2 linked regions of the Neurospora crassa OR74A genome follow. The main gene of each other region encodes a partner of the protein of the gene in region 2 in a complex. Links are inferred from orthologs where the notes say so. Each region holds a gene or a part of one and is shown on either strand. Other genes may lie near its edges.

The links. The genes of interacting proteins can lie anywhere in the genome.
Region 1: the proteins of NCU10352 (region 2) and NCU01930 are in contact, whole or in part, in a crystal structure (PDB 3SWN), measured with the Schizosaccharomyces pombe proteins. The link is inferred for Neurospora crassa OR74A from reciprocal best matches to the Schizosaccharomyces pombe genes lsm6 and lsm7. Residues at the interface, in NP_594380.1 of Schizosaccharomyces pombe: Leu21, Tyr27, Cys33, Asp35, Tyr37, Asn39, Ala41, Glu47, Tyr57, Asp59, Ala60, Phe61, Ile62, Arg63, Asn66; in NP_588340.1 of Schizosaccharomyces pombe: Ser24, Asp27, Leu28, Tyr31, Gln37, Thr39, Thr41, Gln45, Gln55, Leu56, Met57, Gly90, Thr91, Thr92, Leu93, Val94, Leu95, Ile96, Ala97, Pro98.

The regions. Positions count from the first base shown.
Region 1 is NC_026501.1:1,981,636-1,985,034, reverse strand, and holds NCU01930 (U6 snRNP-associated protein Lsm7), read right to left. Parts: upstream 2,101-3,399; 5' UTR 1,883-2,100; coding exon 1,657-1,882; intron 1,545-1,656; coding exon 1,473-1,544; intron 1,385-1,472; coding exon 1,251-1,384; 3' UTR 514-1,250; downstream 1-513. Other genes in the region: NCU01929 (PAB-dependent poly(A)-specific ribonuclease subunit pan-3), read left to right, coding at 1-324. UniProt on the Schizosaccharomyces pombe protein: Component of LSm protein complexes, which are involved in RNA processing and may function in a chaperone-like manner. Component of the cytoplasmic LSM1-LSM7 complex which is involved in mRNA degradation by activating the decapping step.
Region 2 is NC_026501.1:3,587,545-3,590,586, forward strand, and holds NCU10352 (U6 snRNA-associated Sm-like protein LSm6), read right to left. Parts: upstream 1,586-3,042; 5' UTR 1,495-1,585; intron 1,398-1,494; 5' UTR 1,369-1,397; coding exon 1,257-1,368; intron 1,134-1,256; coding exon 1,020-1,133; intron 916-1,019; coding exon 893-915; 3' UTR 517-892; downstream 1-516. Other genes in the region: hsp30 (hsp30-like protein), read left to right, coding at 1-270; NCU09363 (hypothetical protein), read left to right, coding at 2,413-2,835, 2,928-3,042. UniProt on the Schizosaccharomyces pombe protein: Component of LSm protein complexes, which are involved in RNA processing and may function in a chaperone-like manner. Component of the cytoplasmic LSM1-LSM7 complex which is involved in mRNA degradation by activating the decapping step.

The DNA.
Region 1 (3,399 bases), about 1.6 Mb from region 2:
AAACTGTCCGTTGTTAACGAGCGGGGCGATTCTTGTGGGGTGCACAACTGGTCGGAAACTGGAGAGCGCCTCCTCCTAAAACTATTCAGGGATTATGTCTTCCACCAAGTGGATGCCGATGGAAAGGCTCGGCTCGACACGAATCACTACCTCAATTGCTTGAGTAAGCTCGACGCCAGCTCCGAAGAACAGATCTTGCTCACCAGTCGCGACAATGCCACGGTTTTCGTCGTCAGCTACAGGAGTATACGACAGATGCTGGACCGTGCGTATGGCGAGCTTGGAAAGGAAAGTAAACCGAGCGCGACGGGGGCTACCATCTGAATATAGAGTCTTTCGACTTGCGCTTTCAGCCAATGGCTCCACATGTTCGGTGACGGCCTTTGCCATGGCGAGGATATGGATCGCAGCTCAAATGAAGGCTGAACGACAATAATGGACGTAGCAGCCCGACCAAAGCGAGCTTGACCTACCAGGAAAGCGAAGAGGGGGGATTGAGAAGAAGAAATGTGGACTAAGTGGTGGAAAGTGGTTAACAGCGATGAGCAGATCATGTTAGATAGCGAACTAGAAAACAGACTCAGAACACGTGCCCAATTCCGTCCCAGAGCAGGATGTGGGCTGAAAACAACTGGCATATGTATGCGGTGAGCCGAACTATTCGTTATCTTCCCAAGCGTTCTCATTCCACTAGGAGATACTGAATGAGAAAACTTGCCGCTGCTCGAGAGTTCATGGAGCCAAGGGACGTTCTTGAACAGGCATATGTTGCCTTCTGGCTTGATTTCCAGTTAGATTCCCCCACTCGTCAATAACGGCGTTGGCTGGACGTTTACCATAACTCAGGGCAACCAGCTGCATGTGTGTTTCTTCTCGATGTAGCCAACCCCTGTTCTTACAGTCCCTCTGGTGGGTATCGTTGGTAGCTGGGGCCGACTTGTGTTCCTTCATGCTCGACACTGGGTGTTTGCTCACCCAACTCAGCAATGTTTCCCTTGTTGCACCGTCCTATCCTTGAGTGGGGCGGATATCATAACATATTGTTAGACTTCTCTCAACCTTTCAGGTTTCTGTCCTGGTGTTCCTTCTCACTGTCCTGCCCCGTTTTCCTTCGTCAAAATTGTCGTCTCGTCCAATTGCGGTATCGCTCGGTTTACGAGCATGACGGGATGGCGTTCAGATCCCCAAGTTGGTATAATGTTTCGAAAATGATGCAGTTTTACTTTGTCCAGACGAGCATTCCCTTCTGCTCAAGCTTCTTCCTCCTGCTGAGCGAAGGGGTTCGCAATCACCTCGCTTCCGTCGACGGGGCTGATCACAACGAGGAGCGTACCGCGCGCAACAACAAGTCCTAGAGGACGGGTGGTTTCGTTGCCTTCTTCGTCTATTATAGGTGCGTGGGTTAGGACCAACTGGGGCCAAAGAGAGCGAGGTGCACTGGGCAGAGAAAGGCAAGGGAGGCAACAGCTTACCTCTCACAGCTTCCTGCACATCATCCAAAACCAAGTTCATAAGCGCATCATATCCCTTGAGCGTACCGGTAACTGTTGTGTCGAAGACAAGAGAAGGGTTTGTGTCAGCTTTGTAGGGAGCTTTGTGGGGAGCTTTAAGGGAGCTCGTTGAGGGGACTCGGGAAACAGCCATGTCACGACGTACCTTCACGTCCACCGTTGAACTTGACAGTGATGCGCTGGTCCATATACTTCTTGAGGTCGAGGATGTTTTCCTTCTTAGGGCGCTCACCGCGGTCACCGCCCTGAGCACCACCGCCTCCCTGACCTCCACCGGCGCCGGAGCCAGAACCACCTGCTCCTCCACGGTTACCTCCGCGACCGCCCCGGTAGCCGCCACCACGGCCTCCCCTATTTCCTCTATCGGCCATTGTTCTGTTTCTTTGTGAAGTTGATTGAGTATGCGCCGTGTATTGCGCTGGTGGGTATGGAAGAAGAGAGGAAGTCGTCGAAACCGAACCGATTGGCGATTGTCGAGTGTTGATTTGTGGTGTTGGTAATGTCGTTCGGTGCTGCGATTGTTGTCGTCAGGCTGGCTGGCGCTATGGGTTGCGATGGATGTCGTGGGGTTGGTCAGTCGTCCCGTCTGGGTCAGTCGCGTTTTTGGCGTCTGCATCCGCTGGCGGGAGTGACGCCTAGCTGAGTTTCTTCCACAGCTGTGCTTTGCCAAGCACCCCGCTGTGGGGCTGCCATCCGGCTGTAAGTGCGGGTAGTGTGGATCCTTGAGGTCCAGGTAGCATTCCCCAGACTGGCTGACGACAGGAGCCGTGAATCGCTACACTACACTTCGTAGATTGAGTGGCCCAAGCTTTCTTTTTTAGCTTCTCAACTTCCCTTCCCTTCTCTTCCAGTCCAACCACAACCGGCTTGATCGAAACCTCGAAGTTTCTTAATCCTGCCTTCGTTCCTCAGACTCTTCTTCGTGACGTCCAGCAGTGTAAAACAATGCGTGTCATGAGTACCAATTTGATGTGCTGGACGGCTCACAGACACGGCCCGCCAGCTCATCCACTACACTACACTTTTGTTCCATGAAAGGTCGCCCTGGTATGTTTATTTCTTTCTCTTCGACTTCCCACCATGTCCGTCAACTCTGCAGTGCCGTAGGGTTTTCATGTCGTGTGATGAGCTTGTCAATATCCCAACACATTAATCATCTGCTACGACCTTTTAACATGGTCGGACGGCTGAGGAGGGAATACTTCGCCTGGCCATCGTTCAAGTTCTGTCTTTGGTTCTGAGCAACGGGAACAACTGCCAAACTACCTAGTAGCGAAAACATGGTGCGTTGCAGCAGCCGCCTACCATCTTGGCTCTCAATGCAGCGGCGAAGAAACTTGTGTCCAAGACTGTCAGGCATGTGTGCCAAGAATCAAGAAGCGCCGTCTTTGAAATTCAGGTGCTTGACAAGAACTCAATTTCTCTCGGCAACATCCGAGAGCCATTGAACCAAGACGCACGCTCACCGGGCCAAGAGTATCCGATCGAGTTGGGTTCCATGTGACGAGGTGCGATTGGGAGTTCACAAGTAGGTCCTACCAAACTCCAAGCTTGCCCAAGGAGCAAAACGGGCCTTAGTTTCCAGCCGCTCGAAAATCGGTGTTACTACCTACATATTCCATTGACGGATGCCTACACTACTTAACGACTCGACCCCTCTATCCACTGGCTAGAAGTGTCCCTGACTCGTTGCCCCGGCTGTTATCAAACTTCGAGCAAGGGAAGCATATCCTCATTGACCTCACAATTTGCTCTCGACTATCAGACCTCCAGCTATCCCACTGCCAAACGGTTACGGCAAGTTTGGGTTCCTAATACAGGTACAGGTCGCATCGCGCATGGTTCTGTACGCGCCTACCTATATTGGGCTTCCCTCACCGGCTTGAAT
Region 2 (3,042 bases):
TCGGTTGCCACCACTGCTACCGGCGCCAACAACCAGAACAATCAGCAAGTCGCCCAACGCGCAAGCGCACCCACCACCGAGGAAAAGCCAAAGGCGCCAGCCGAAAAGTACTGGGTCTCTGAGCGCTCCATTGGCGAGTTCTCGCGGACTTTCAACTTCCCCGGTCGTGTCGACCAAAACGCAGTCAGCGCCTCTCTCAACAACGGCATCCTCACCATCACGGTTCCCAAGGCCAAGAAGCACGAAACCATTCGCATTGCTATTAACTAAACACGATGAACGGTCTTCTTGTCTGTGATAAGGTTCGGAAGAATTCTTGGAAGGAGAGTCGGTGTGTTAACAGCATGACAACGGAGCATTTACTTCATTTAGCATCGCATTGGTATGACGGCCTGGTTTGGTTGATTTGGAGCACAGCTGTGAACGAATACGAATGAGTCTTGTTGTCATGGTCTGTTTGCTTGTTGGCATTGCAGTTGGGGATAATTGGCGGATCTTACTATTCGAGACAGATTTGGAGGATGAGCAAGGCGCTGGGCGAGTTTGCGGATCATCAGCTTCCAGCGTCGGCAGTTGATTCAAACAGGCAATGTAATACAGAGGATCCTTTATAATAACTAAAGTTGCGTTCTTGAACACAACTACCCCAGTTCGTACTTGGTGATGTGATGACAAACGTGGCCCCGTTGTTGAGTGAGCGGTTGCCCCTGCTGCACGTGAGATTGATCAGTCTGTTTTGCTGACCTGAGCACGGAGGAACAGCTGAAAGTCTGACTCTTGAGCCGGCTGGACTTCGAGCACGTGTGTTCCCTAGTACCAACATCGATGAATGCTTGCTCACGTCCCATCATAGCTTCTTCCCCCCTCACACAACTGTGCTTGGAATGCCGCCTTAATCCGCAGATATATACATGACTACAGAAACATTAGACGCTACTCTGGCATTGTAGAAAAGAGAAGAAGAAAAAAAGAAAAAGGGGGAAGAGAGAGGGGGGGGGGGGGGGGGGGGGGGTCTGCACCGTTGTTGCCGCGGACAAACGCATCACCGTAGCTCCGCCTCTTCACACCGTTGATGAATTCCTCTGTTTTTTCCAGGGCAATGTTCATGTAACCGTCGACGGATTGCAGTTCACCTACACCACGCAGTGCCACAACCCAGGCGTCCTGTTAGTTTCCGCATGTGTCTGCCGAGAGAGAAGAAGTTGCAAGACAACAGTAGTTTGACAATAAATGACGAGGTGAAAGCTACTACTAACCCTTGTAAACCACGCCGGAATTCAGTTTGACAGTGACGGGATTACCGATGATTTCGCTGAGGAAACCCGAGGGGTCTTTACCCTCACTTTGAGACGTGGCTCCGTTCTCCATAATTGATCGATTGGTGTGATGGAACTCGGCTGGGAGAGGTGTCAGCAGGTGGAATATTAAGCGGTGGGACGACTTTGGAGTGTGAGCGACGTCTCTAGACTTGGGTGCGCTGGGTAGGGGACTGACTTTATTTGAGCGAGTAACTGAGTAGTAATGAGAGCGGCTGCACTCGTTGAGGCGGGAGGGTGAGATTAGGGAGTGATGATGTCGAAAAGAGGAATGTTTGTTGTTTGAGAGGTACTTCTTTTGACGATTGTTGGTGCTCTTGCACGTTAGGTTATCAGGGCTTGGTCGGTATCAATGTTAACGGGCAACGTTCGTGAGGCCCGTACTGCACCTAGGCAAAAGTCCTGCAGGCGGCCCGCAGCGCCTAGAGGAAGCTTTGACATACGTAGGTACCTACGACATTAGTATAGGCACTGCCACACCGTGACAGCGCTCAGCCTTTCCACAGATCCTTCGCATAGTGCATACATGGTTTAGGAGAATAATCGAGCGATGGAAACGAACCGCTACCATGTTCCCACCCATCTTGTTATTGATATCATCTCACTCCCTGGCAATGGTTTCGCAATTAGTTCTCGGGAATCTGAGGGCAGGGGCGACGAGTACAAGATGCCGATATACCTTGAACCTGAGGGCTCAGGAATAGCTGCAAGAGCGATGACGATGGTGAAGAATGGTTGCCGACCAGGTTGTCGAGCAGGTGGAAACCTGGGCAAACGGGCACCGCTCAGCTTCCAAGTTGAATCTCAGTTGTTTTAGTAGTATCCCTCACGGGCCGAGGCCAATCGAGCCCATTCCATCTATACGTTGAACGCATTTAGCCTTATCTTGTTTGGATGAAGGCAACCCTGGCAGCTTTGCGCTTCACTGACGCCGGCTTACCTATGTATTATGCCTCGTACATCTCGTACTCGAGATTTTTTGCTGATCCATCGGCTACTTAACAGGCCTTCTCAAGATCCATCATCGACTTCTGCTCAGTAGCTTCAAGCTTTTCTTTTCCAGTGTTCACGATCGAATAGCTCAAATCGTTGCGACATGGGTGGCTCGATGTTCTCCTCGGGTAACGATCCTCTACACACTCCACGCATGCCGCCCCATATCTACCATCATGTCAAAGCCGCATGCCACGCTACCCTACGCACTATGTTTGTGTGCGTCGCCGGACCCGTCGAGGGCCCCGAGAAAGAGGACTATGGAGACCTCGACATCCTCGTGGCCATGGAGACCCGCCTCGTCTTTCCAACATCTCCCCGGCGTTGTATTCCCAGAGGGGTGGAGGAGCTTGCGGCCGACATCAAGGCAGCCTTGAACGCGGAGCGCTCCATAGTCAACCCATGTAATAATTCGATACACCTTGCTATCCCCTGGCCCAAAGACGAACCCCAGCTTGGAGAGGACAGGCAACGACACATCCAGGTCGATATCTGCATCTGTAAGAACATGGACCAGATGTTTTGGGTATGCTTGACCTCATGACCTTAGCCCTGATGATGAGATTGGAAGCACCTATAGTACAAGAGAAGCGCTGACATTGTCCTATTGGTGGCCAGGCACTCTTCAAAAGCGCACATGGCGATGCGTGGACTCTTTTAGGGTCCATGATCCGGCCTTTTGGTCTGACTGCTGACGATGAAGGCCTTTGGCTTCGGATTCCCGAGATTGAGA